Linked DNA regions of Drosophila melanogaster. Changing the gene in region 1 together with any one later gene gives a genetic interaction. Each region holds a gene or a part of one and is shown on either strand. Other genes may lie near its edges.

Region 1 (5,016 bases):
ATACATATGTGGCATGGGGTCTACGGATCCTGTTTGTCTGCACGTCTACGTGTCTGTTTGGCAAATGCCAACTTTATTAGGAATTTTTGCCATTCGCTGGCTCATGAGGCGAGCGTAGAACATTTTTGGGGGCCGCATTTCCACATTTTCCTGCCAATCCATCCGCTGTCCCTTTTGGTTCATGTATTTGGGATTTTACTTTGGCTGAATGGATTATATTCGTATTTTGCCGACAAACAAACACAAATATCTTGTCTGCTCAGGTGGGTGGAAGTGAGAGCGAAACTAAAAACCGGGGAAAACCAGAGAGAGAGAGGGAGAGAGAGAGAGAGAGAGAGTGAGGAAAATGAGAGGAAGAAAACTCATGCGCTGTGCAGTGGAGAGAATTTCCCATTGTTTTCTAAACATCAGTAGTTAATGCCGACATTATTGAAAACCTATATATAAATTATAATTTATAGAGCTCTTAGATTATTTTTGTTGATTTTGTTGATAAGCTTAAAATATTAATCTTAGAATTGTTATAAATTTTTCGCATAAAATAAAATCATTTTTGTTTGTGTCATTATAAAATTTATTCGTTTTTTTCACGATCATGAAGATGGTTTTACAAATTAGTATGTAAATATTATATTATCTTAAACCTATTTTAAAAAGAAATACATAAAAATAAATTTGGAATTAATTTCCATAAATCGAAGTCGTCAATTGTAACTCTCCTGCATTAGGTCACAAACATTACACAAAACGAGCATTAGCACCTCATTTGAATGGATTCCATTAGGGCTTGTGTATTTGTGTATGACGCACTTAACTAATGGCCCGGCGTTTAAAGCCCCATAAAAAGGCCCAAAGGACAGCTGAACAACCTGGTAGTGACCATGTCTAAGACAAATGGCGGACTGTCCGTTTATAATTGACCGCAGGCGGTTAGAGACACGGCCAAGTGGTTGGGGCTACACATTATCGTTGTGGTCGTCGTTCAAGTAGAATGGACAATTATTATTAACTGCAATAAATTTCACGCACGCACAATTTACATAGACTGGGAAAAACGAGGAGCAGTCAATTTTGTTAACTGTGATAACATATAGTGACTTTCGTCACTACGTAGACATGCTGTTCGTTAAATACAGTTGAATAATGAATATATATTATTTTATACAAGATTGATAAAAAATAAATTTAATTTCTTCGAGTGCCGAGAAGTACTCAAGCGTATCGCAGGACACGATCTATAAAGGACACAGGACACGGACATTCGGTCAGGACACGTACAACTCATTTAAGTGCAACATAATTGTGTGTGTCCAAGTTTCGGGAAGCTCCCACCTGAAGACTGCGCTTCCCCGAGGGATGGGACAATGGATCCAGGGGGGGTGGGGGTGGTATAATTGCCACCGGGAGCACATGTCAATGGCAATTACCGGCAGTGAGTTCAAGTGGAGTTCTGAAAGAATGCCGGACCGCTGACCACCACCCCCATACTAAATAAATCGATAGTTGTGGCCGTTGTGTTGCCATTAGCGTGTTGTTTAATTGAATTGTAGCAATTAAAGAGCTTCAATTGGTTTTAATCGGAAATTGTTCTCATTGTTCGAGCACAATGGTAAAAGTCGAGCTGTCGCACACACACACACATGCTCGTTGATAGTCGCAGATTGAGATAGATGTGTGCACACACACACACATATACGTAAATAGTCGTCATTCACATAAGCCCGCCTCATTAACGCTGACATTCAGAACTGGCAGAAAGGAAATGTGCAATAAATGCGACTAAGCCTGTGGAAATCACCAGCAACAAGAGCAACAACAACAACAACAACAACAACAATAATAGCAACAGAAGCGGAGTGGTGCGGAAAAGCACCACACAAGCCACGGTAATCACAGGGGGTTAATCGCAGTTGGGGGTTAAGCCAACAATGGGAGTTCAACTAACGCTCATCTGGGGAAAAGTCAAGTGTTCGGCGGCAGTCAAATTCGCAGTCTCATAAGGGATTTTCGAGTTTCTGTCATTGAACTGCATAAGTGAAGGTTAAAATCCATCAACATAGTACTTAAATAATACAGTAAAAACTATTGGAACTCAAATTAATCATGAAACATAGTAAAATCTTTTATTATTACATAAAAAAAGAAAATTCCTGATGGTTATTAAATTATAAGTAATAGTAGTAATGTTAAATGCTCTTATGTTTATATTTATATGTATGTTTATATTGACGCTTAAAAACTATATTTTAATGAAATCTAAATTGACATAAAAATAGAAGATATTAGTCAGATTATTAAATAAACTATCACTCTCTTTATAATTTAATGTTAGTCCTAGCTGTTAACAGAACAGTAAAAGTTAACATAAAACTTAACATCAACCTAGTGGCACTAAAAAATATCCTCGGGCAACACCAGTTAGCTGGGAGCTCAACAGGCTGTTTCTTTCTTTTTTCTCCGCCTTCAACAACAGTTGGACGATAAGAATTTCCCCAACACGGAAATTTCTTTACTCTCTCTGCCAAAGGATGGTTAATATTCTCCCGCATTTCCGCACTCTCTCTCTCACTCTCAATTTCTGCAGTGCTTCACCGTTGTTCTCTCTCCCATGGGCCATGTTTTCATTGCCTGCCGCAACATTTGCTCAGTCCGCGACGAACTCTCAACGCGGGCGGTTGTGTAGAATCTGTGGCAAGTTCTTGCTCCATTCGCACCCATATCGAATTTATTGAGCTTGCTGCGCGCCAAAAGTCCAAAAAGTGAAGAAAACGCAGAGCGTACAAAGTTGGAGAAACCAAAAATAAATATGTGAATGCCGCGAGTGTGTGTGTGCGTTTATTTTTAAGCGACGGCCCCCGAAGGCAAATGTGAAGTGTAAGCGGCAAACAAAATACAAAAAAAAAGCAAAAAAGATAAGTAAAGAGCGAGAAATATAAATTATATCAAAACAAAAATAGCCGCCAGAAGGCAAGCGAATTAGCACGCAACATTTGACGAAATGGGAGCGACACCGAAAACAGACTTTCCGGCTCACTGGCTGCTGTGTATCCTTCTGGCTCTCGGCTCCTTATCCTCGAAAGCGAATGCCGTTAGTGCTTATGGCGCCTCCTTCATTTCGAACCCATCCATATATGCATACAGTGTCGAAAATCAGCCGGATGAACGCGAGTCCAGGGACAACAACATCAAGTTTGCCGCTGAGCACGGCAATCTGAATTCCAATTCCAATCTGAATCGTAATTACTACTACACCGATGATCCCAGTCCCGTTTCCAATCTGAATCCGACTGCCTCGCTGGCCACGCCTCCCGCCACCCAGCCCGCCCCGCAGACGGGCTGCACCCTGGACCGCCTGGCCGTCTACAAGGTCGTCTTGCACACCTACTGGACCCGGGAGCTCTTCCCCAAGCACTATCCCGACTGGCGACCCACCGCCCAGTGGACCAAGACATTAGGTGAGTACTCCATATGACACCATTATAATTGTTTTTAAATTTTGGTTTTACTTAAGACTATTAACCAAACAAATAAATGCAAGTTGGTCTAGGCTTGTGTATCTAGAAACCATAAACTTGTGATCATAAACTTTGATAATAAAATAATGATTTTTAAAGAAATATAGCACTGATTTAAGAGCGCAAGCTTTTTAGGTTTATAAACATAAATTGAAACGTATTTAATGCTTTAATATTTGTACGCTTTAATTTGCGCCTAATTGGAATTCCAGCAGAATTGCAGCATCAATTTTCGTACAAATATTTTGCGATTTTCCAATTTTTTTAAATTCGTTCAAACAAGCAAATCCAAACCAATTGGGCCCAATGCCCCAGCCAAAATGGGTCAAACATTGTGTGTCTCCCACTCCAGTGATTACTCAATCGTTGAGATGGGGATAAGGATCTCATAATTTGTGCCAGCACAGCAGCCAGGCACCAAATGCCCACAGACTAATTTGTCACAATGCCTTACCTCTCACCTCTCTCCCAATTTGTCAGACATGCATATGTACACACGGATATGTATGGGCATCTACATACGTAAGGAAAATAAATCGAAAAGCAATTTCGCAGCAAGTTGGCTAAACATTTTCGGTTCGTTTTGGTATTTTGGGTTAAATCAGTGGGGTCTTTGGTTTGGTTTGGAAAATGCCTTTGGCCGCATTGGCGTGTCGCTTGTCTTATCAATGTTTTTGCAGATTTAGCTGTCGATTTATAGCACACAGGCACACACACTCGCTCACTCGCTCACACACTCCCACACTCACATTGGTAGCTTGCAGGATATTCAGACGACCCAGTGAGACAAGTAAATCTGACAGCTAAACAACCAAAGCCTGGCCCACATGCAGGGCCAAATAAAAAAGGATAAGCAGGAAGCGGAAAAGAAATGCGATTTGTACGTGCTTATGCGCGATGTGCTGGTCTCAGCGCAAAACGAGAAATTGGATAAAGTTGTTCAATATAAATAAGAGGGAAAGGACCTGCCATCACATAGCTCATTCTTATCCGGGAATTCGAATTTTTGATGTTTTGATTTTAAAGCTTATCGTGAAGAATGGTCGCTCTATATTTTTCTCTCTCATATGAGTAATTAAATGGGCATTACGAGCTATACATCTCTGGGCCATAAACTTCATTCTTTCCCTTGTTGTTTATAGTGTCGTCTGGCTTATTTATAGTTTTTCCTCTTGCGGCAGGCAGTGTGCCACAGTGCGTATGCGTGATTTATGTGAGCACTGCACTTGTGCTTATACTTGCATAAAATATAGCGAAAAGGACTAGTGCCCGTACTTTATCGTAAACTACACTATAGTTTTGCTATTCAGTCGAGTGTTTTTGCTGCTTAACACTTAAAATGCAGTAGAGTGTGCGTTTATTTTGGAGAATTTCTTCAGGTTTCCCCTTAAGAATGCTTGATATAGTGTGAATTATTATTTTAGAAACTTTTTTCTGTATGGGATAAACACAAAAGAAAAATAATCGTTGTTAAGATAGCAACTATGAAATATTCGAAGTA
Region 2 (5,016 bases), on another chromosome or scaffold:
GGGAGGCTAAACTGGGAAAATCGAGCGAAATTAATTGAAAATACGAGAGATTTCCGCAGATCGTTGCCAAAAGGAAGGGCAATAAGAAAATAAAAATCTCACTTTCCTTCCAGGTCTTGGCTATAGTCAAGTCCAAATCCATTTACCTCCACACCTGAGGCATTACTCAGTCCATTTGGGAATGACGTCGGGCCGAAATTGTTGTTCTCGATTCGGTCTTCCTTCTACGAAGTCAAATTCAAAAGTCAAAGGCACAATTTCGTGTTTATTTTGCAGGAAATTCCTAGCGATCTCAATATAAATATTTTATTAGTAAGTAGATAAAATGTGTGTGAATGCGAGTGTTGACCTTGCCGAAGGCGCTAAGGTGAAAACGCAATGCGTGGCCAAACGGAAAAGTGGGTATCAGCCCAGGGAAATTCATTTGTGTGGGTGATACCGATCTCTCTTCACCGCTCAGTGGCCTTTAGCCGGGCCTTTCAATAAACTTGGCCAATTTATGCCGCTGTAAACTGTGCGTGCTTTTCACATTCCACTTCTGTAATAGGTTCGGGAAAAAGCGACGAGCTATCGCCCACTGACTTTTGGGGCCTTTGGGGTCTTGATAAGATATATAGACCCTATATTGGCCAATGGCCTACGTACTGAGCAGATAAAAGGCTTTTCTGGAATTAAATATCAATGTCTTTTGATTGGCTCAATGGAAGCTTAATTGGTTATATTTGTCGATTGCAAACAATTCAATAGTATTGCACTTATTTATTTCAAAATATTTGTGAGCAATGAATCTAACCCAATGTTTTAATTGCACATCAACTCGCTGCTAACAATTAACGATTTCGAAATCTATCGAAGCCACTCATCTTTCGCTAGCAATCGAAACAACACACTCTAATTGAATTTGTATGGCTGGGCGATAAGAATCTTGTTTCCAGTTGAAAGAACAGAAACAAGGAACAACAACAACAAAACACAGAGCAACTCGCTGAGCAAACGAAAATCGAACTCAAACCTGGCGATGAACTCACTGCACTATGAATTACGATGATGGAGAATCCAGAGGTGCTAAGTAGTTGGGGCTTAAAACGAGCTTTTAAACCCAAATAATCCAGAGATCCAGAGTGATCTGTAGATACTTAGTTAGAGGTTTCAAAACGCACAGACAATCGGAGAGACAAAGACAGCAGCTGTCTGGTCGTAAACAAATGGCATCCACTGAACGTATCTGCGAGATACAAAATATTGGGGAGAAAACGAAAGCGATTCTCGTAAGTGCAGAACCCCCCAACAACAAAATATTCATTTGTGCGCACTATGTCAGCCGAGTTTACATCATTCTCCAGCATTTCCATCTGCTGTCGTAACTCGAGATACTTTTACGAGGGGAAGGGGAAGGAAGTCCCCCCCCCCCCCATCGCACTACCACCACCACTCGTGAGAATGCACTTGGCTTCGATTGCTTGAAATATGTGAAAAATGTCATAATTTTAATAGATTAAGTGGGCACAATTTAATTGCTTTTGCTGCCTGTTGTTATGTTTGTTTGGCTATTTCGGTCATTTCCCTCCAGAAAAACACAGAAATACCGAATTAATTTCCATCTCAACACACCCACGATCTTAATCCGTTCGGGGCCCCGAGGCGAAAATTAATGGGGCTAACCAAAATTCTATGCTCTGCCAGATCTGGGCAAATATGTCATATATTCGAATGTCTTGTCCGTTGATAATTAGTTCCATAATTAGTGGAAATGCTAATGAAATTGAAATGTTTTGCGAGCAACGCGCCGAAAAGATTTGCCAAGAGTTAGTGGAATCTTAAGGCGAGTGACACGGATCCATAAATCTTGGCCAGTTTATTATATTATATTATTTTTTTTAGCTAACTGCTTCTGGCATTCCTGCTTTATCGTTTATCTTAGTGCTAGATATCTTTTGATGTTTGTCAACTTTTTTTTTTACTGCAAACTGTTCTTGCACTCGAAGTAAACAATTTCCCACGCTCCAACCTGCCACTAACACGATTCCACTGATTTTCATCAACTTTTTCCCGCCGTAGTTTGCCGTTAAACACTTTTTCGTTGCCTTTTGTTTTGATTAGGCTTGGTTTCTTATATGTATATTCTATCGCGTTATCTGTGCACTTTTGCCTGCACCTTTGGCAGTGTGTTGTCACATATTCTATATATTAATCCCAGAGATCGTAGGACGCCGTTGGGAGACCGCAATCGAGAGACTCCGAAAAACACACGCGCTGCGCTCGCGATTCAGTAAAAGCGTCGCAATCGACTGAAATCCAAAGGGGGGCCCGATGCTGAGGCTCCAATAGACGAGCGCTCCGGCTCTCTCGCAGCTGCTCACGGAGAGCGGGGGAGCAAGAGAGCGAAGCGTTTGAGAGCTGGTAAACAAACTGCACTGCGAAAAAATCTTCTTAGATTTATAGATGTATGGATGTATGGATAGGCATAGTATATTCAAAACGATAGCTTAGCTTCGTAATAGGGGCTATATCTAAAGTAATATATATCTAAAGGAATGTTTAAAAAGTATGTATCAGCGGTTACAGCTTGTGAAACCAGTATTATGATTATTGTTGTTTCTGAGTAAACAACTAATAAACTAGTAAACAAGTAGTAAACTAATTTTGAAAAATCGAATTTAAAAAAAATGTATTTTAAATCAGAGTCCATATTGTCGTATTTTATTTTCAGTGCCAAGAGAGCCAGTTAAAAGAGAGAAAGAGCCCCACCACGTAGCTTTTCACTTGGAGTGGCTTTTCATTTTGGCTTGCGGCCTGCGGCTGAGCATTTCGACCGCAAGTGGGAGGCACAGCGAAAGGAAACCAGAGCGGACGAAAATATTGTCGCCCGATTGGAGCTTTCCTTTGGGTGTGTGAACAGTGGGCCAGCTGCCAAGAAAACCAACCCCTTCGTTGCTGACGAATAAACGAAAACGTGAGTCAAAGGCATCCAATATCAAAACATTTCTGAAACTATCTTCAATTGTACAGACAATCCGCAAGATTAAATGTTTCATAAAATGACAGTGAAAATTGGTATAAACAAAATTCCTCTGGGACAGTCATGTTGGAAATGCTTATCACTTAACAGCTGCTTAGGCTTTACAATTGTTTATCGACAAACATAGAAGATAACTAATTATATACTTTCATGACCATGAACACTGTGATATACATTGATACGATCACAGAAAAGGCAGAAATGGGATCTCAAAAACTCTTTAACCTTTCGTCCCACTGTGCGAACCTTTCCCCGTAACCATAAGCGATCATTGCTCTGCAGTTGGAGTGCTCCCCTCGGCGGAAAACGCCATCGACGCTCAATGCCCAGACAGACCTAACCGATCTCGACAGATCATCTCGTCTTTGCTGTTACAGTGCGCACACGCAACACGAACAGAAGACATTGCGTGTCGAGTGGGCGATGAAGTGGGCGCGCACTCACTAATGGCAGCAAAGCAAGATTGATGCAACTGAGTTGCTGGAGAAGATCAAGATGAAGTTGGAGATGAAGCTGAAGCCTCTACTTCCTGTGCGAAGTAAAGCTTCGAGGGCAGAATATTTATGCTGAGATTTTAAGATCTCGAACGAATTTCAGTATTATAGTTATTATTATATTATTGTAATCTAAAAAGTGATCTGAAATATTATTTGTTATTTAACATGATTTTGCAAAAGCTCTATATGAAAGTTTCTTAAGATCTAGAATCCTACAAGCCCAGCCGATAAGCAAATTTTAGCGGGCTCTTAGACCACTGTGCGTAGGTGTAGGGCAAGTCAGCTGGAATTCTTCATAAGTGTTAGTGGCCTGGCCTTTAGTCATTTCTTAAGAATTTCTGGACACACAACTCTCGGCTGCAGATTTCGTTTTGCTTCACTTTTATATTTTTATCAAAAGACATTCCGAAACAGCGAAGAATTGTGTCATAAAGAAAATAAAGTGAGACGACATGTAGACTTTTATTTCGCTGATGGAGACTAAAAGAGCACTGTGGGGCAGCGAAGAAAGCAAATACAGCCCGGCTGATTAAGCTGCCTCTCTCAGACCAGATCATTCACATGAGTACAAGGGTTTCGAACTTGGGGCTGCAAGAAACCACACCCTCCTTGCTTTCTAGAATTGTAAATGATTTCACACTGGAAGTGCTGAGCGCGATGCTTTTATGTTCGATTCAAGGAATTAGGATTATTCATAAAAGTGCAAGGAATGCGCGAATCGGACCACAGCTATCGCAATAGCCACTTCCCGAATTAAAAGCTCATTCATTTACTTGTGCACTTTGCACATATGTATGTATGTACATAAGTATGTATGTATGTACATATGTATGTATGGACCCATGTACATATGAACGGGTTCAAAGATAAGACGAGCACTTGAAATTCATCATCAAGAATTTTAAAGCACGTAACACAACCATTTTTAATCGTGATTAATGATTGTATGCTTACGATAAGAATTTCGAAAAACAGTAAATATTGAGTTTCAAGAAATATTCAATAATAAATATTTTTGTATATTGGGAAATATATTAAACAAATAACACATCTTGTTCGGTCAATGACTGAAGATCACTCAAAACTTTTTTACATAATAACAATTTCTTAAAACAGAAGTGAATAACAGATTAATAACTAAAAAGATACACAGAACACACGTTGCCATTCAACACGTGAGGTACGTTTTAGCCACTCTTCACTGTAAACGAAAATTATTCAAGCGTGAGATTTTCGACTTCCTGTGTCGCCACCTGGCGGCCAACGGCAGAATCCTCAGCTACATGTTAATTAACTCCAATTAGCGACTGACCTTGAAGTCGCAGAATTATCTTTGCGGCTTTTGCCTACGTCACACGGTTTATGCTGTGGAATGCTCCGCTTGAGGAAGTCGCTTTTCCCCGAGGAAAAGTGGACCACCACTTACTTACCCAAATCGTCCATGGCGATGGTGTTGTTGTTTTTCCGCCCTGTGTGCGTTAGTGTGCGTGTAGTTTTCCG

Evidence for each region. Genes that interact genetically often act in the same process or in processes that back each other up.
Region 2: of mspo (region 1) and Pax, changing one suppresses a phenotype caused by changing the other (phenotypic suppression), as found in Drosophila melanogaster (one study listed by BioGRID).

What each region holds. Positions count from the first base shown.
Region 1 is NT_033778.4:14,711,251-14,716,266, reverse strand, and holds the start of mspo (M-spondin), read left to right. Parts: upstream 1-2,644; 5' UTR 2,645-2,998; coding exon 2,999-3,455; intron 3,456-5,016.
Region 2 is NT_033779.5:19,421,260-19,426,275, forward strand, and holds the start of Pax (paxillin), read right to left. Parts: upstream 2,294-5,016; 5' UTR 2,156-2,293; exon of another isoform or gene 2,020-2,155; intron 1-2,019.